Macaca mulatta: one gene and its partners. The protein of the gene in region 1 purifies or fractionates together with the protein of each later gene. This does not show direct contact. Links are inferred from orthologs where the notes say so. Each region holds a gene or a part of one and is shown in the gene's direction. Other genes may lie near its edges.

Evidence for each region.
Region 2: the proteins of PRP4K (region 1) and PNN purify together in Homo sapiens (affinity purification with mass spectrometry; 5 studies listed by BioGRID and IntAct, counting the BioPlex papers as one, with this or other methods). This does not show direct contact. The link is inferred for Macaca mulatta from reciprocal best matches to the Homo sapiens genes PRP4K and PNN.
Region 3: the proteins of PRP4K (region 1) and SART1 purify together in Homo sapiens (affinity purification with mass spectrometry; 3 studies listed by BioGRID and IntAct, with this or other methods). This does not show direct contact. The link is inferred for Macaca mulatta from reciprocal best matches to the Homo sapiens genes PRP4K and SART1.
Region 4: the proteins of PRP4K (region 1) and USP39 purify together in Homo sapiens (affinity purification with mass spectrometry; 3 studies listed by BioGRID and IntAct, with this or other methods). This does not show direct contact. The link is inferred for Macaca mulatta from reciprocal best matches to the Homo sapiens genes PRP4K and USP39.
Region 5: the proteins of PRP4K (region 1) and ZC3H18 purify together in Homo sapiens (co-immunoprecipitation; 4 studies listed by BioGRID and IntAct, counting the BioPlex papers as one, with this or other methods). This does not show direct contact. The link is inferred for Macaca mulatta from reciprocal best matches to the Homo sapiens genes PRP4K and ZC3H18.

What each region holds. Positions count from the first base shown.
Region 1 is NC_133409.1:179,203,378-179,206,890, reverse strand, and holds part of PRP4K (serine/threonine-protein kinase PRP4 homolog), read left to right. Parts: intron 1-2,052; coding exon 2,053-2,226; intron 2,227-3,513. UniProt on the Homo sapiens protein: Serine/threonine kinase involved in spliceosomal assembly as well as mitosis and signaling regulation. Connects chromatin mediated regulation of transcription and pre-mRNA splicing.
Region 2 is NC_133412.1:112,287,989-112,292,224, forward strand, and holds the start of PNN (pinin), read left to right. Parts: upstream 1-1,429; 5' UTR 1,430-1,460; coding exon 1,461-1,573; intron 1,574-2,248; coding exon 2,249-2,320; intron 2,321-2,700; coding exon 2,701-2,769; intron 2,770-3,574; coding exon 3,575-3,647; intron 3,648-3,754; coding exon 3,755-3,849; intron 3,850-4,002; coding exon 4,003-4,078; intron 4,079-4,236. UniProt on the Homo sapiens protein: Transcriptional activator binding to the E-box 1 core sequence of the E-cadherin promoter gene; the core-binding sequence is 5'CAGGTG-3'. Capable of reversing CTBP1-mediated transcription repression.
Region 3 is NC_133419.1:8,451,972-8,455,484, reverse strand, and holds part of SART1 (U4/U6.U5 tri-snRNP-associated protein 1), read left to right. Parts: intron 1-132; coding exon 133-259; intron 260-382; coding exon 383-488; intron 489-745; coding exon 746-823; intron 824-938; coding exon 939-1,038; intron 1,039-1,127; coding exon 1,128-1,270; intron 1,271-1,401; coding exon 1,402-1,608; intron 1,609-2,306; coding exon 2,307-2,431; intron 2,432-2,518; coding exon 2,519-2,634; intron 2,635-2,727; coding exon 2,728-2,870; intron 2,871-3,513. UniProt on the Homo sapiens protein: Plays a role in mRNA splicing as a component of the U4/U6-U5 tri-snRNP, one of the building blocks of the spliceosome. May also bind to DNA.
Region 4 is NC_133418.1:38,768,991-38,772,503, reverse strand, and holds part of USP39 (ubiquitin carboxyl-terminal hydrolase 39), read left to right. Parts: intron 1-1,887; coding exon 1,888-2,024; intron 2,025-3,513.
Region 5 is NC_133425.1:84,020,949-84,025,042, forward strand, and holds the end of ZC3H18 (zinc finger CCCH domain-containing protein 18), read left to right. Parts: intron 1-1,050; exon of another isoform or gene 1,051-2,110; coding exon 2,111-2,207; exon of another isoform or gene 2,208-2,720; coding exon 2,721-2,919; 3' UTR 2,920-3,588; downstream 3,589-4,094.

The sequences.
Region 1 (3,513 bases):
GACGAGGTTTCCCCATGTTGGCCAGGCTGTTCTCGAACTCTTGACCTCAAGTGATCGCCTGCCTTGGTCTCCCAAAATGTTGGAATTACAGGCATGAGCCACTGTGCCTGGCCCGTTTACATTTTTTAACTGGTCTTTGAGATTGCGCGTGTGGGCGAGCAGATTAAATAAGAGTTTCCTCAGATGACCCTATCAAGAAAGCACTACCAAGAAGTAAGCACTGCAGATCTGAGTCAAAGTCTACCTTGCTCATTTTGGCTGGATCAGAGAAAGATTCTTGGGTTCTGTATACTGTGCTGAAACATGCAAGACAGGTTGTGTTTTTAGGTTTTTATTAAATGAGGAAGGCTGGGTGCAATGGCTCACGCCTGTAGTCCAGCGCTTTGGGGAGGCTGGGACAGGTGGATCACCTGAGGTCGGGAGTTCGAGACCAGCTTGACCGACATGGAGAAATCCTGTCTCTACTAAAAATACAAAATTAGCTGGGTGTGATGGCTCATGCCTGTAATCCCAGCTACTCGAGGCTGAGGCAGGAGAATCGCTTGAAGCTGGGAGATGGAGGTTGCAGTGAGCCGAGATCACACCATTGCACTACAGCCTGGACAACAAGAACTAAACTCCGTCTCAAAAAATAATAATAAATTAGGAAAATACTGTAATGTTATTATTTGATTATGTAGACAAACCTATTTACAGTCTGACTGTTCAGATTAAATAGTTGTGTCCAAACCTGGAATAACATTAAGAAATGTTCAAAACCTGTTTTGAAAAATTAAGCTGTAGAAAGGCCTGTTGTAATACAAATATCACATTAAACGAGTAAAACTCACTGAAAGGTACTTCTGTGATAAGTATTGAAAAGTTGGGTTTTTGTGGGGTTTTTTGGGGAGGCTGGAGGCAAGGTCACACTCTTGTCATCCAGGCTGGAGTGCAGTGGCATTATCTCTGCTCACTGCAGCTTCTGCCTCCCAGACTCACGCCATCCTCCCACTTGAGCCTCCCTAGTAGTTGGGACTATCTTCACATGCCACCACACTTGTCTAATTTTTATATTTTTTGTAGAGATAGGGTTTCGCCATGTTACCCAGGCTGGTCTCAAACTCCTGAGCTTAAGTGATCCGTCTGCCTCAGCTTCCCAAAGTGCTGGGATTACGAGTGTGAGCCACCACACCTAGCTATTGTTTTTGGTTTTTTGAGACAAGTTCTCACTCTGTCACTTGGGCTGCAATGGCACAAACACAGCTACTGCAGCCTCAACCTCGTGGGCTCAGGTGATCCTCCCTCAGCCTCTGAAAGTGCTGGGATTACAAGTGTGAACCACTGTGCCTGGCCTATTATACTTGACATTAAAAATAAGATTTTTGGCCAGGCATGGTGGCTCACGCCTGTAACCTCAGCACTTTTGGAGGCCAAGGGAGAACCACTTGAGGCCAGGAGTTCGAGACCAACCTGGGCAACACAGCGAGACCCCCATCACTACAAAACAAAATTAGTCAGGTGTGGTGGCATACCCTTAACGGTTCCAGCTACTCAGGGCGGGCTGAAATGGAAGGATTGCCTGAGCCTGGGAGGTCAAGGCTGCAGTGACCCATGTTCGCGCCACTGCACTCCAGTCTAGGTGACAGAGTTAGACCCTGTCTCAAAAAAAAAAAAAAAAAGAAGAGATCCTTAATTGGAGAAATGTCAAAATGTAGAAAGAAAAAGTCTTCAATGGAAATGGGATATTTGAGTAAATGGAATATTATACTCACGTGGGCAGGTTTTATTTGGGTTGTTTATTTGAAATTAGAATCAGTAACTTTACTGGTATGAATAACCTTTAGTAATTCTTCAAATTGTGGGACCAGAGGAAATAAGACCTTTCATTGTTTGCCTGCAATAACACTAAAATGTCATTGTGGCCATCTGAGTAAGTTTTGTTACAAAACACATTAATTAGAGTTCACTCTCTTTAGGCTAGTGTGCCTTTTCTTACAGATATTCCTTGCATATAGAAAAAAAATCATTTACTTTGATTTATTTTTCTTTTAACTTGCATTTGATCCCCTTAAGAACACGACCTCGAGATGATATCCTCAGTAGACGTGAAAGATCAAAAGATGCCAGCCCCATCAATAGATGGTCTCCAACCCGAAGAAGAAGTAGGTCTCCCATTAGAAGGAGGTCTCGTTCCCCACTCAGACGTAGCAGGTCTCCAAGAAGAAGAAGCAGGTCTCCTCGGAGAAGGTAAAGACATTTCATCCTTGTGATTCATTAAACTCTGAATGTTTTTAAACCACCCATGAGCTCAGTTGGTAGGTTTTCTTTTGACCAGTTTTCTCTGAAAAATCGTAGTTGTGTTCCCAGTTTCCTTTTACCAGCAGTCTTTACACGTGGGTTTTCTTTTATATCGTTTCCTTTGAATTTTAACCAAATCATTACTCATTTAAGATGCAATAAAATTAATCTTTTAAGAGTAGGACTTTTTTCTCTCTTTTATGAGAGATAAATATTAAATGAGCCAGGCTTAGGGATTTTTTTTTTTTTTAACTGGCAAGGTAGATCATATAGTAGTAAATATGTAGTCCAGTTTCTTATCATTTTATATTAATTTTGCATATTGATAGTTACTGTAGACTTTGGCCAAGGCCTATTTAATTTGCCATAGAAACCACTTTATCTGAAGCATATGTAATCAGTAGTAGGTTAAAAAGGTGGTTTATAAAGCAGGGAATCATTTTTTAAAATTCATACATACATGAAATATTTTGATATAAAACATAAATGGGTATTTGTTCGCCCATCTTTTAACATTTTTAATTGAAGTAATAAATGAATGTAATTCTTAAAAAACAAAGGCTTATATTGTAGTCATCTCTACATATCTCTCAGAATTTTTGTATGCTGTATTCCTAGAAGTGGAAATGCATGGTCTGAGTACACTCTGGACAATGAGGGGTTTTATTTATTTGTTTTTTTTTTAGACAAAGTCTCACTCTGTTGCCCAGGCTGGAGTGCAATGGCGCAATCTCACTGCAACCTCCACCTCCCGAGTTCAAGCAATTCTTCTGCCTCAGCCTCTCAAGTAGCTGGGACTACAGAGGTGCGCGTGCCACCATGCCCGGCTAAATTTTTTTTTTTTTTTTTTGTATTTTTTTAAATAGAGGTGGAGTTTCACCATGTTGGTCAGGCTGGTCTCAAACTCCTGACCCCAAGTGATCCGCCCGTCTCTGCCTCCTGAAGTGCGGGGATTAGAAGCATGAGCTGCTGCACGCAGCCACAATGAGGGTTTTTAATACCCCCCCTCACCCATGTTTCTCTTTTGCCTATTTTCATCACACGTTTTTGTTCTTCTAGAGTCAGTATAATCATTGTGATCATGTATGTATTCATTGCTGGGCAAATAGTTGGGGGAGGAGGGCAGAGAGGACCTGCCTTCTGAGACGGCTAGTCTGCTGGCTCCAAGCTCATCTTACGACTTGCTTTTTTCTCTCTCCCCTTTTTATAAAAAATTTCTTGTGTTCTGAAATTTTA
Region 2 (4,236 bases), on another chromosome or scaffold:
ACTCCCGGCTAATTTTTGCATTTTTAGTAAAGGCGGGGTTTCAACATGTTGGCCAGGCTGGTCTCCAGCTCCTGGCCTCAAGTTATCCACCTGCCTCAGCCTCCCAAAATGCTGGGATTACGGACATGAGTCACTGTGCCTGGCCTGTGAAAAAACTGTTTTCTGAGCTTCCATTTGTGTATACATATGTTTATAGAACAAAACTGGTTCCCACACTGGCAGTGCAGGTAGGGCAGAACCAGAAGCAGGACAACACACACAGACACCACTAACAATAGGGCCGCTCCCTTAGGCCTGGTCTTAACCAGCTCTAGGCCAGGTGAAGAGGCTAACTCAACCATGACTGCCTGTCTCGCTATTGCTTTCTTTTCTCTAGTACAGATGCTCAGGGTCTAATCAGAGACTGATTCTCAACTGGCGCGACCAAGGGACAGTTATATTATCTCCAGTCTCAATTTCCTTATCAGTAATAACAGGCATTTTTATCCACACTTTTAGTTTGTGAGGAATAAGGCACGTAGAGGGTTTCACAGAGGGTCGGGAACAAGATCAACCCCTAACCAATGTTAGTCATTATGATTAATGACTTTTCCTAGTTTTTATTTTTGTCTTCCTTCTGCTCACTTTAGCCTAATCAGGGTGGGCGTGGTGACTCAAGCCTGTATTCCCAGCACTCTGGGAGGTAGAGGCGGGCGGATCACCTGAGGTCAGGAGTTCGAGACCAGACTGCCCAACATGGTGGAATCCGGTCTCTAATAATACAAAAATTAGCCAGGCGTGTTGGCAAGCGCCTGTAGTCCCAGGTACTCGGGAGACTGAGGCAGGAGAATCGCTTGAACCTGGGAGGCGAAGGTTGCAGTGAGCCGAGATGGTGTCACTGCACTCCAGCCTGGGCGACAGAGCGAGACTCCGTATGAAAAAAAAAAAAAAATTAACCTAATAGAGGAAAGCACGCGCCCACCCCCTCTCTGAGCATGCGCACCAACAGAATAGCCGCGCCCTTTTCTAATTAAACCATTAACCAAGGTGAGGGTAAGGAAGAAAAGGAGGCTTGGCTAAGTCCCACCCTGATGTGATCAGGTTAAAACTGTGTAAGGCACATTACATCATAGGTTAAAAGGCCTGGAAAACTCCGCGCTCTCCTTGCCAGAACTGCAGGCTTGCGGGCCAAGTCTCTGAGAACTCAGGGATTGTGAAACCCGCCCCGGCTCTGCGCTAGCAGCGGGATCCAGGCACCCGCAGCTAATTGGGGAGGGAGGTGACTGCCTGGCTGACTTTTCATTGGCCCAGAGTCACAAAGGCTGCAGGTTCTTCCCCCTTCCGGTCGCTGAGTGGTTGAGGCCGGAAAACAACGCTCATCGTCATTGGCTGAGCCCGGCTGTCAGTCCTTTCGCGTCTCGGCGGCGCGGCACAGCCCGGCGCGGCCTGTAAAGCAGTCTCAGGCCTGCTGCAGGGAGAAGATGGCGGTCGCAGTGAGAACTTTGCAGGAACAGCTAGAAAAGGCCAAAGAGAGCCTTAAGAACGTGGATGAGAATATTCGCAAGCTCACCGGGCGGGATCCGAATGACGTGAGGTAAGGGCTTAACGGGAACTCGGAGCTCGGAGAGGCAGCCCTCTGGTCGGGGTGAATTGGGGGCGGGGAGGGCGGCCAGCCTTCAGAAGGCTGGAACCTCGAGGCCTGTTCGCGGGGCGGCGGGTAAAACCATGTTCTCGCCGAGGTGGAAAAGCCCCAGGCCCCCATCGTAGAGCGCTGGTCTCAGGTTCCTGAGAAAGGAGAGCGAGTCCTGGATACGCCGGCATGGTTTCTCAGGCCTGTGAGAAGACCCAGACTACTGATTCCCGCCCTCGGCCCTGCAGGCCCGGAACTGCAGCACAAAGCCCCTTCCCGCTCTGGCGGGCACCCGGCCCAGGGCTGGCCCCGAGACCCTGCCGGGACGCCACTAGCCACTTCACCCCAACCTCTTGCCCACGTGCAGCTTCCTCGGGGATGGCGGGATGGGGACCTGATTCAGGCTTTTCAATGTGTGGGGGCATCGAGGTGATTATAATTTCTGTGATACAGGTCCTGGAGAAACGAGGAAGTTAAATGAAATAGTACGTCCTGTCCTGTTTCAGACACTTGGGTTTATTTGAAACTATCTTTTTGGAACTTTTGCGATTTTCTCCTTGGATCCATATCTCTGAAAGTAATTGGTGCAACTATGTGTGTCTGCATATGATCTTGCACTGATTTGTAAATCTCTTACAGGCCCATCCAAGCCAGATTGCTGGCCCTTTCTGGTCCTGGTGGAGGTAGAGGACGTGGTAGTTTATTACTGAGGTAAGATTTCCTTTGGACTTTACTCATGCTGAAACTACTGGTACTTTACTTACAAATATATTGGCTTGCACAAAACCTGTGATAAAATCGATAACCCAGTGTTTGTTGTCTTTGTTTAATGCTTGTGATAGACTAGGTTTCCGTATAAATACAGTTATCCTGAAAAACTGGAGGTCGAAGAATATATTAAGTGTACCAATTTTGAGTGAACTTAATTCTTATAGTTTAAAGTAACACTAAAAGCATTTTGGGAATGAATGCCCATTTAAGGCTACTTTAGTTGGAAAGGTTTTTAAAATTTCAACCATATTCTCTTGTCAAATGGAAATACCGTTTATCTTGTATTTCAAGTGCTTTATGTTGAACATTTTAAATTTCAGGCGTGGATTCTCAGATAGTGGAGGAGGACCCCCAGCCAAACAGAGAGACCTTGAAGGGGCAGTCAGTAGGTAGGTCTGTAAAAAGATTCCTGAAGTCTTCTTTAGTTTCTGATGTACAACACAAATACAAATATTTATTAATAATAATGCTGTTTGAGTAATATTACAATTGAGTAGTGTGCCACTTCCCCCCCCTCACAAGTTCTCTTGGTATTTGATTGAACTGAGTCAGTTCTCTCAAAACACAGTTCTGCACTCATGATAACCCACAGTTTATCAAAATAAAGGTCAGGTGAAGAGTAAATTTGGAAAAATTGTCAATTAGTACCATTTTTTTCTGACTTGTAATTGAAATACTTAACCAGTTTGAAATACTTAGAAAATACAGGAGAGCAGAGTTAGTTTGGGTGTTAGTTCACATGTTGTATTCTTTCTCTGCTGGAGGAAAGAATAAAATGGAATGGAGACTTGATAGAACAAAGCTTCTGGAAATGAGTCCTAGAAAGAGAGGGCATTTGCCTTTGGTGTGCAGTTACATAAATACCTCTGGTCATTTAAATTAATTTCTGGCCAGGTACAGTGGCTTATCCCTGTAATCCCAGCACTTTGGGAAGCCAAGGCCAGCAGATCACTTGAGCCCAGGAGTTCCAGACCAGCCTAGGTACATGGTGAAATCACATCCCTACAAAAAGTACAAAAAAGTTACCCAGGCATGCTGGCTCACGCCTGTAGTCCCAGCTTGGGAGGATGAGGCAAGAGGATCACTTGAACCTGGGAGGTCGAGGCTGCAGTGAACTGTGGTGGCACCACTGCACTTCAGCCTGGATGGTATAGTGAAACACTGTCTCAAAAAAAGTAATTTTGTCTATGACAGGCTGGGTGGGGAGCGTCGGACCAGAAGAGAATCACGCCAGGAAAGCGACCCAGAGGATGATGATGTTAAAAAGGTATTGAGATTGAAGGAACTTAAACGAATGTAGTACCTTCACTTTACTACATTTGAAAGCACACCACTCATATGCTAGTTAATTACTGAGATTTTCTTTTTCTGCAGCCAGCATTGCAGTCTTCAGTTGTAGCTACCTCCAAAGAGCGCACGCGTAGAGACCTTATCCAGGATCAAAATATGGATGAAAAGGGAAAGCAAAGGTATTTCCCTGGGGGAAAAAAACTCTTGTGAAATAATGCAGTTATAAGGAAAATTAAGGGATTGTTCAAGTGTCCTGTAGTGTTTCTTAGAAAATGATGGGTTTAAATGAAATGGATCCTGTTGACAGTAAATTTTCTTATTCTGTTCTTTAGGAACCGGCGAATATTTGGCTTGTTGATGGGTACCCTTCAAAAATTTAAACAAGAATCCACTGTTGCTACTGAAAGGGTATTTATCCAAGTTTTGTTTTGCATCATGTATTTAAGTTATCAAAGTAGTAGATTAATTTTTTTTTAAGCCTTAAAGCTGTTTTAAGACTTAATTGTAAACCTAAAATAAAGCCAAATGAAAACTTGGTTTAACTTTTTATAGAACAGCCTTACTTA
Region 3 (3,513 bases), on another chromosome or scaffold:
AGGTGAAGGATTGTTCCTTCCTGTCCTGACCCCTTCTGGCCCCCTGAGCTGGAAGGGGGCAGGGTGAGTGGCTCCCTCCTCTCCCCACCAGCCATGGGCGGGCATAGCCTCACGTCTGGGCCCCCCTTCCAGAGGCGGGCACCAAGGAGGAGCCCGTGACAGCCGATGTCATCAATCCTATGGCCTTGCGACAGCGAGAGGAGCTGCGGGAGAAGCTGGCGGCTGCCAAGGAGAAGCGCCTGCTGAACCAAAAGCTGGGGTGAGGGGTCCTGGCCAGGGCAGGCAAGGGAAGGGCTGGGGAGGCCACCATCCTTGGCTGCCTTTTGAGTGGGGTTGGGAGCAGGAGCTGGGCTCCTGGAGCATCACTTTCTCCCCTCTTCAGGAAGATAAAGACCCTAGGAGAGGATGATCCCTGGCTGGACGACACTGCAGCCTGGATCGAGAGGAGCCGGCAGCTGCAGAAGGAGAAAGACCTGGCAGAGAAGAGGGTGAGCACCTGGGCAGCATGGGGTGGTTGCCCAGTGCTTTTGCTGGCCTGACTGGGCATTGAGGCAGGGGGTGGACCCCAGAGAGTTGAGACGGGGTTCGGAGAGGGGATGGGCTGTGGTTGGTAGCATCCGCTTTGGATTCTCAGCAACTTTCCTGCAAGGCCTGCTCTTTTTGCACTCCGCTTGGTAGAGCCCTGAGTGTTTTCTGGTGGTGCTGAGTGGCCTGAGGTCCTAGGTCACCCCTCCCTGTCCCATAGGCAAAGTTACTGGAGGAGATGGACCAAGAGTTTGGTGTCAGCACTCTGGTAGAGGAGGAGTTCGGGCAGAGACGGCAGGTGAGGCTGCAGCAGCCGGGGTGGGTGGTGCAGGGCACACTGGCGGCCTTGATGCTGGAATCCCAAGGTTGGGCGCATGGAGGGAGGTTCTTTACTCGCCTGATTCTTCTGTTAGGACCTGTACAGTGCCCGGGACCTGCAGGGCCTCACCGTGGAGCATGCCATTGATTCCTTCCGAGAAGGGGAGACCATGATCCTCACCCTTAAGGACAAAGGTGACGCGAGCTGGGTGCCTTGGGTCGGGGCACAGCCTCTGCTGAGTTGTGGACAAGTGTGAATGGCCACTGCTCTGTGCTGCCCGCAGGCGTGCTGCAGGAGGAGGAGGACGTGCTGGTGAACGTGAACCTGGTGGATAAGGAGCGGGCAGAGAAGAATGTGGAGCTGCGGAAGAAGAAGCCCGACTACCTGCCTTATGCCGAGGACGAGAGTGTGGACGACCTGGCGCAGGCACGGCCCAAGCAGGCTGGGCGGCGGGGGCTGGGGTGGAGAATGTCGGGAATAGGGGCTCTGAGGAGGTGGTGGCTCAGTGGCTTTTCAGGAGCCACCCTGGGTCCCAACCTGTACCTCTTACCTTGTAGCAAAAACCTCGCTCTATCCTGTCCAAGTACGACGAAGAGCTTGAGGGGGAGCAGCCGCATTCCTTCCGCTTGGAGCAGGGGGGCATGGCCGATGGCCTGCGGGAACGGGAGTTGGAGGAGATCCGGGCCAAGCTGCGGCTGCAGGCTCAGTCCCTGAGCACGGTGGGGCCCCGGCTGGCCTCCGAGTACCTCACACCCGAGGAGATGGTGAGCCCTCTTGCGCCTTGTACTTGGGGTCATGATTCTCCCTCCCCTTGGGGCTCCTGCGCTGCCCGCAGGCACTGGGAAGAGAGGGCAAGTATTTCTGTTCACAAAGCGCTTGGCCTCGTGGGCAAGCAGTAAATGGCAACCTGGGGAGGCACCAGGTGTTGACGGGTCAGGGCTGCTGAGCCAGATGGGCCCCAGTTGGTGTTTCTGCTCTGCCATACTGCCAGCTTGTGCCTTGGGTAAGCCATTTAACTGTGAGCCTGGGGTGCCCCATCTGGAGTGGCAGTGATAGGAGCCACCTCCTGAGGTTGCTGTGAGGATGAGTGACAGTGTGGCTGAGGGGTGACTGGAAAGGTGTGCGTGGATTCTGTCCGCAGAGTGACTGTGTGAACGTGAGGTAGTCAGCTGGTGTAGTAGGCGTCTTGCTCAGTGGGTAAGAGCAGGACTCTGGAGCCAGACTGCCCGGCTTTCCCACCTAGGAGCTGGGCGACCTTGGGGAAGGTACTTAACCTCTCTGTGCCCCAGTTTCCCTAATCACCAGTGGAAGGGAGATAGTAACCACCCCACGTGTTGCTCATGTGTGAGAAGTGCTCAGGACACTGGCTAGCACAGAAGAACACCAAAGAAGTGTTCATCCTCGCGGGCTTGTGGTGGCCTGCCTTTCCCCGCCCCGCCCCACGCCTCCCTCTTCCCCTCAGGTGGCCTTTAGAAGGACCAAGCGGAGGGTGAGGAAAATCCGCAAGAAGGAGAAGGAGGTCGTAGTGCGGGCGGATGACCTGTTGCCTCTCGGGGACCAGACTCAGGATGGGGACTTTGGTTCCAGGTGGGCTTGGACACCATGGTGGGGTGAGAGGGCTGGGCTGGGGTGTCCCGGGGGCCGGTGCTCACCAGAGAGGCCTCCTTCCCTCAGACTGCGGGGACGGGGTCGCCGCCGAGTGTCTGAGGTGGAGGAGGAGAAGGAGCCCGTGCCTCAGCCCCTGCCGTCGGATGACACCCGAGTGGAGAACATGGACATCAGTGATGAGGGTGAGGGCCTGGCCAGGGGGTGGGAGGGGGCAGGGACAGGAGCCCTGGGTTGGAGGAGATTGTCTGAGCAGGCATCCCCTGTGTATCCCCCAGAGGAAGGTGGAGCTCCACAGCCGGGGTCCCCGCAGGTGCTGGAGGAGGACGAGGCAGAGCTGGAGCTGCAGAAGCAGCTGGAGAAGGGACGCCGGCTGCGACAGTTACAGCAGCTGCAGCAGCTGCGAGACAGTGGCGAGAAGGTGAGGCTGGGCATGGGCAGGCCTGGGGCTACCAGTGCGTCAGCAGTCACCTGTCCTCACGAGCACATGTGTCATAGGCAACAGCCACATTCCTGTCTGAAGCCTCTTTTCCATTTGTTTTTTGTTTTCTGGGTTTTGTTTTTTTTTGAGACAAGTGTTTTGCTCTGTCGCCCAGGCTGGAGTGCAATGGCGTGGCCTCGGCTCACTGCAGCCTCCGCCTCCCTGGTTCAAGTGATTCTCATTCCTTAGCCTCCTGAGTGGCTGGGATTACAGGCACCTGCCACCACACCCGGCTAATTTTTGTATTTTTAGTAGAGACGGGGTTTCACCGTGTTGGCCAGGCTGGTCTCCAACTCCTGACCTCATGATCTGCCTGCCTCGGCCTCCAAAAATGCTAAGATTACAGGTGTGAGCCACTGCGACCAGCCCTGGTTAAAGTCATGTTTTCTGTTTAAAAGTCATGTTTTGCAAAAGTTTTTAGATGCCTGCTTTAGTAGGGGATCCTTTCCTGGCCTGTCTCTTCCTGTGCATGTTTGTTGAGTGCCTGCTGTGGGTAGTGCATTGTTCTTGGGCCGAGAAGGTCATTGGTGAACAGGACAGCCACGGGGCCCTGGACTCAGGGAAGTGGCTTTCTAGAGTGTGT
Region 4 (3,513 bases), on another chromosome or scaffold:
CAAAGTGCTGGGATTACAGGCATGAGCCACTGCCCCCAGCCTAATTTTTTTTTTTTTTTAAGAGATGGAATCTCACTGTGTCACCCAGGCTGCAGTGCAGTGACGTGATCTTGGCTCACTGCAGCCTCTGACTCCCAAGTTCAAGTGATTCTTCTGCCTCAGCCTCCCGAGTAGCTGGGATTACAGGCATGCACCACCACACCTGGCTAATTTTAGTATTTTTTAGTAGAGACAGGGTTTCACCATATTGGCCAGGCTGGTCTTGGACTCCTGACCTTAAGTGATCCACACTTTTTGGCCTCCCAAAGTGCTGGATTACAGGCGTGAGCCACGGCACACAGCCACATTTTTTTTAAAAGATGGGATTGTACTCTGTTGCCCAGGCTAGTCTTGAAACTCCTGAGCTCAAGCAGTGTGCCTGCCTGTACCTCCCAAAGTGCTGGGATTATAGATGTGAGCCATTGCACCCCGCTATCTGGCTAAATATTTTATTTTATTTTTTTTTGTGGAGACAAGGCCTTATTATGTTACCCAGGCTACAAATTTTTTTTTTTTGAAGTATCCTTTAGCTCAAAGGACTTTTTTTATACCTTTTTTTTTTTTTTTTTTCTGAAAATGTATCATTTCAACTCATTCACACCAAGCAGATGCCATGTACATAGTATAGTGGAGGATTCAAATGAGGTAAAAACAACTGGGCACAGTGGCTTACACGTGTAATCCTAGCATTTTGGAAGGCTGAGGAGGAGAATTGTTTAAAGCCAAGAGTTCAAGATCCACCTGGCTAACATAGCAAGACCCTGTCTCTTTTTTTTTTTTTTTTTTTTTTTTTTGAGACGGAGTCTCGCTCTGTCGCCCAGGCTGGAGTGCAGTGGCGCGATCTCGGCTCACTGCAAGCTCCGCCTCCCGGGTTCACGCCATTCTCCTGCCTCAGCCTCCTGAGTAGCTGGGACTACAGGCGCCCACAATCGCGCCCGGCTAATTTTTTGTATTTTTAGTAGAGACGGGGTTTCACCGTGGTCTCGATCTCCTGACCTTGTGATCCGCCCGCCTCGGCCTCCCAAAGTGCTGGGATTACAGGCGTGAGCCACCGCGCCCGGCAACCCTGTCTCAAAAAAAGAGATAAAAACTATATTCTTTGCTCTTATTAGGAGCTTCTAAGGAGTCAAGGTTGACATGTGAAACAACGAGCGAGTTCTGTTAGACCATAAAGATTACTGCTGGACCGTGGCACTGAGTAAAAATAAGTGCAGTAGGAGTTAAAATGTGCAAAAATCAATGTTAGCTGGAGTGTTGATGTTGAGTTCATGAAGGAGTGGAGGTGGGACTTGAATTGGCAGGACATAGGAGTTTGAATGGTTAGGGGAGAGAGATTCTAGAAAGGAGTAGCAATATGAGAAAAGTTACATAGATACAGCATTGTCCTGAATATGGGCATTTGGAAATTCAGGACTGAGTGATGATGGACTGTCATAGGATATGTATATATTTATGTATATGTGTATTTATGCACTCACACATGCATAGATGTTTCTAGTTTCATATATATAGGAAACTATGTATGTGAATATATAGTTATATATATAGAGATTATCTATATTTTATATATCATATGTATTTTACAAATATTTGCAAAAAATAGTGAACTTTGTTTCCCCAGTCAATGTCTTATGCCATCTAGAGAAAGAAGTAACTAATGTGCTAGTCTTTCTTGCTAGTTTTTTTATGAGAGAACTTCATGCGGAGGATTCATTTTATGAATGACATAATATTTGTTTTTCGCGGATGTTAACATGTTCCGGTAGAAAATAATGAAAGGAAAAGCAAACCTGATCTGTGCCTTCTAGTATCTGCCCTTCTATTACAGCCTTTCACCCTTCCCTATAGGCCGAGGTTTGAAGTCTCACGCCTACATTCACAGTGTCCAATTTAGCCACCATGTTTTCCTCAACCTCCATACCCTCAAGTTTTACTGCCTTCCAGACAACTATGAGATCATCGATTCCTCATTGGAGGATATCACGGTGTGTGTCTAAGAGGGTTGGTTTGGGGTCCATTCTTTAATGAGCCATCCCAGGGCTCCCAGGGGACTGCCCCATCTGAGGACAGGGAAGAATCTCAGTCCTTTTGGGCATCGAGAGGCTGCTTTCCCTTTTGGGAAGAACTGGGGAAACTGAGTAAGGTCAGAATTCATAATTGCAGCCTGTAGTCTATAACTTAACTGTCATTTCTACTTGTAACATTGAGGGCTAGGACTGAAGAAATATGGGTGTATTCTGATGGGGTTTAAAGTGTTTTTGTGAAATTATTCTTCCACACTTTGAAGCAGGGATATGAATTGGTCCTGGTGTAGGACAATATTTACCAAGCTGCACACCAGCTTCTGGCTGCTTTTAACATATGATGGGACCAGAGCATCCAGCCACAGATGTCTCATCTCTGGGCTCTAGTTTGTGGCCTGTACCAAGAGACACTCATTGTGCTGAGCATGGGCTTTGATTAGTGTTGGGTTTTTGATTATTATTTTCCTTTTCAGCACTTGGGGCATATTCATGGTGCCAAGTGCTCTGTTTTGTTTTTGTTTTTTAGACGGAGTCTCGCTCTGTCGCCCAGGCTGGAGTGTGGTGGCACCATCACAGCTCACTGCAGCCTCGACCTCATGGGTTCAAGTGATCCTCCTACCTCAGCCTCCCACCTCAGCCTCCCAAGTAGCTAGGACTATAGGCATTACCATCATGGCCAGATAAATTTTTAAAATTTTTTGTAGAGATGGGGTCTCACTGTGTTGCCCAGGTTGGTCATGTTCTGTTTATTTTTAAGGAAATGGTGGTATTTAGTCTTTGAAATATTGCTTTTTCTACTTGTAAAAATTTTATAAGCCTATTATTAGTAGTTGAGATTAAAATAGTTATGGACAGGCTGGGTGCGGAGGCTCACGCCTGTAATCTGAGCACTTTGGGAGGCGGAGGCAGGTGGGTCATTTGAGGTCAGGAGTTTGAGACCAGCCTGACCAACATGATGAGACCCCATTTCTACTAAAAATACAAAATTACCCTGGCATGGTGACACATGCCTGTAATCCCAGCTACTTGGGAGGCTGAGGTGGGAGAATTGCTTGAATCTGGGAGTGGGAGGTTGCAGTGAACCGAGATCGTGCCATGGCACTCCAGCCTGGGCAACAAGAGTGAAACTCCGTCTAAAAAAAAAAGTATGGACAGTATTTATAGAGGGAGAAACTGGGCTAAATTCAGTGTTTCAAAGTGAGTTTGGGATGACCTCTGTCCAGTCTGTGACATAATGACTCTGGTAACTGCCTGAGAAGAGTCTGATCCTGCTCTTCCAGTACCAGGGACTCGTGGAGATCCTCAGTCTCACCCAGAATGGAGGAAACTCTCCTGCTCCAAAGCTAGGTACATGTGCTGCTCCCGGGAGGTTCTATCTGAGACTTAGACTGCCTTTAGGAACTTAATAGTTTCTGGCAGTCAGTTTTCATGAGTTGACCAGATCTGAGGT
Region 5 (4,094 bases), on another chromosome or scaffold:
ACCCTGTCTCTACTAAAAATACAAAAATTAGGCCGGGCGCAGTGGCTCACGCCTGTAATCCCAGCACTTTGGGAGGCCGGGGCAGGTAGATCACAAGATCAGGAGATTGCAACCGTCCTGGCTAACAGGGTGAAACCCCGTCTCTACTAAAAAATACAAAAAACTAGCCAGGCGAGGTGGCGGGTGCCTATAGTCCCAGCTACTCGGCAGGCTGAGGCAGGAGAATGGTGTGAACCCGGGAGGCGGAGCTTGCAGTGAGCCGAAATAGCGCCACTGCACTCCAGCCTGGGTGACAGACTCCGTCATCCCAAAAAAAAAAAAAAAATTAGCCGGGCATGGTGGCGGGCACCTGTAATCCCAGCTACTCAGGAGGCTGAGGCAGGAGAATCACTTGAACCGGGAGGCGGAGGTTGCAGTGAGCTAATACCACACTACTGCACTCCAGTCTGGCCACAGAGCAAGACTCTGTCTCAAAAATAAATAAATAAATAAATATAACAGTAATAGGCCGGGCATGGTGGCTCACACCTGTAATCTCAGCACTTTGGGAGGCCAAGGTGTGCAGATCATCTGAGGTCAGGAGTTCGAGACCAGCCTGGCTAACATGGTGAAACCACGTTGCTACTAAAACTACAAAAAATTAGTTGGGCATAGTGGCACGCATCTGTAGTCCCAGCTACTCAGGAGGCTGAGGCAGGAGAATCGCTTGAACCCGGGAGGCGGAGGTTGTAGTGAGCTGAGATTGCACCATTGCACTCCAGCTTGGGCAACAAGAGCAACTGTATTTTTCTTTTTTTTTTTTCTTTTTTTTTTGAGACGGAGTCTTGCTGTGTCGTCCAGGCTGGAGTGCAGTGGCCGGATCTCGGCTCACTGCAAGCTCCGCCTCCCGGGTTCACGCCATCCTCCTGCCTCAGCCTCCCGAGTAGCTGGGACTACAGGCGCCCGCCACCTCGCCCGGCTAGTTTTTTGTATTTTTTAGTAGAGATGGGGTTTCACCATGTTAGCCAAGATGGTCTCGATCTCCTGACCTCGTGATCCGCCCGTCTCGGCCTCCCAAAGTGCTGGGATTACAGGCTTGAGCCACCGCGCCCGGCCTGTATTTTTCTTACACGTGTCATTTTTGCAAAATATAATTATATTTTCCAAAACAAATGAGCAGGAATGGCATTGGTTTTTCCATTTTTGCAAATCTCTTCAGTCTGACTGACAGAAGACAGCTGGACCCACGTGCCTCGTGCCCTCTGGAGACCCTCCTGGGTTCTTGTGAACTGAGTGACAGGGCAGACAGTGTCTGTGTTACTGCTGAGCCACATAGACCTGAAAGGGCCTCGGGGACCCCCAGCCGTCCTGACCACACCCCAAGAGCTGGGGCCCAGATGGAAAGACAGGGAGGTTGTCCTGGCTGGCTTTGATGGGTGGAACTTAAACCAGAGGACAAGGGGGCCTGGCCACCCGCACAGCCACTCCCAGACACAGAGAACAGGCAGGGGGCTTCAGACCCCTTCCTGAGTAGTTCTCTGAGTTTGTCGGGCGTAGGAAGAGGAAGCTGCTCACCTTTGTCCCTAAGCCCAGGGCAGTGTCCTGTGTGGTTGGTCTGGAACAGCCTCGCTGTCCTTCCCTGGGTTTGGAACCAGGGCCACTGGGGTCCTGCAGACCTTTGTTCACGCATGAGCCTTGGGCCTGCGCCGGGCAGTGGACCCTGCCTAGGCTGCCGCGCCTCCCTCCTAACATTGCCAGAGTGACACTCGTGGTCTCTCGGCTTTGCTTGTATGTCTTTACTGCCATGTCTTTTTTGTTGTTCTGTATTTGAAGCCCCATGTGATAAATTTCTTCAAAGCTAGGAAGGAGTTTTGTCTCTCTGCGCAAGATACTGGCTACTTGGTGGAACCTGGAGCCCAGGTTTGGCCTCAGCCTCATTTCCGGATGCCTTGGTGTCCACATGTCTCTTCTCTTCTACTTGGCTCTTCCCTTTTTATTTCTTTATAAAAATGAAGGAGGTGAACTAAGCAGCCTCAGGCTTTAGAAGTGAGTCCCTGGTGTTGGTGAGGCCACCCACACTGCCATCCCCTGTAAGCCAGGAGGGTGGTCTCACTCTGTACCTATCACCCAGGTTCTCGAGACCGGAAGTCAGGTGGGAGACTGGGCTCCCCGAAGCCAGAGCGACAGAGAGGCCAGAACTCCAAAGCCCCTGCAGCCCCGGCTGACAGGTGAGTGGACCCAGCATGTGCCCTGGGCACACCGAGGGTGGCTAGCCTGAGCCTCTTTCCCAGGGAGGCCAGCAGCAGCAGGGCTAGCACTGGGCCAGGTTGGAGGTGCTCCAGCTCCTGTAGCTCCTGCTGGGCTGATGTGGTGAGGGACAGGGACAGGGAAGGGCAACCCCACTCCCGCACACACACTCCTGCCCTGGTCGAGGCTGGAGGCTGCCCTCTGCTCCCCATGTCCTTGGGCAAAGAGCTCTGGGCACGGAGGTGGGAAGAAGAGCAGGTTGTGTGGGGCCAGCCCAGGACCCTCCCAGTCTCTACTCCACAAAGCCCGGCAGCCAGTGGCTAGGACCAGGCCTGCTTGTGGCAATGGGAGCCTGGCCATCCCGGGAGCCCCTTGCCTCTCCTGGTGGCCACTGAGCACTCAGTGGAAGTTCCCCTTCAGGGAGGGCACCGCACTGCTGCTTCCACCTCAGACGTGGCTTCTGGGGGCTCAAGGTCTTCCCCACCCCCTTGTAGGAAGCGCCAGCTGTCACCACAGTCCAAGAGCTCCAGCAAGGTCACGAGCGTGCCCGGCAAAGCCTCGGATCCCGGCGCCGCCAGCACCAAATCAGGGAAGGCCAGCACGCTGTCGCGGCGGGAGGAGCTGCTGAAACAGCTGAAGGCCGTGGAGGACGCTATTGCGCGCAAGCGGGCCAAGATCCCCGGGAAAGCATAGGCCGTGCCCCTGACCGGACTGGACGCATTTTTATACATAGGGTAAGCGCAGCCATTTTGGATTTTGCAGTTAATGTCTTATTTTGGCTGTGATTCTTTTTAAAAAGTAAAAAAGAAAAAAAAGTTTCTCAGCTGGAAAAGAAGCCACACAGGAGATGACGACGACGCTGAGTCCCAGCCTCCCTCCCCAGAGCAGAAGTCCCACAGGACAGACACAGACAGCGCGAGTGACCAGCACAGTTCTCATGTAAATTACAAGCCCCAGCCGCCAGCCCCGCCTTCTCTTCCTCCTCCACCGTCTTCTTCCCTGGCCCTGGTCAGGCCTGGGCCTGTGGAGCCCCAGCTCTGCGTCCCCAGCCCGGGTCCAGGCAGCCAGGCTCCCTCCTGAGCTGAGAAATGGAACCTCGAGAACCACTGGTGGCACCTCCTTCTCCTCCCCGCCCCCGATCACCCGCCCCCGGATCAGAAATATATCTATATTCTCGACTAAAGTCTCATCAGGAAATACTTCCTGTCTTTTATTTTAAGCATCAAATTGTTTTAGTTGATTTAAACAGGAAAAAATACAGAAAAGACCAAAAAAAAAAGGCCAAGGGTATTGTTGGGGCGTCTGTCTAATGTGGAGGGTCTTTTTTGAGGGGTCTCCTAAAATAAAATATTTTGATAAGCAGCTGTTCTTGCCCTTGTGGTGTGTGCGCCGTCTGCCCAGGCACAGCCCGTCTGCCTCTGTGTCGTGCGCTGCACTTGGCCCAGCACTCGGGAGCCGCTGGGGGCGAGGGTGTGGCTGCGCGCTCACTCCCCCTGGGAGGACCGGCCATGCAGCAGCTCCTGCCTTCAGACCCCAGCCCAGGGAAGCACTGCACCTCAGTTTCTCCATTTGTGGGGCTGTGTTGGGCGTTCCTTGGTTCATGAGATGGAGGTACCTTCCCTGCAGGGGCTATGGAGCTGCTGGAGGGGAAGAGGTCCGGGGCTGACTCCCAGCCCTGAGCCCAGCTGCCACCTCTGCAGTGACCACCACCGGCTCCGTGTGCAGGCCCCAGACCTGCTGAGCCAGGCCCCATGTGTGATGCCACGTTCCACAGCAGGGGCCACCAGCAGAGCCCCCCAGGAGCCCCCGCTGTCGCTCTCTGCTCTCCACCTTGAAAGCCACAGGCCTGCACCTGGGCAGAGGCCTCC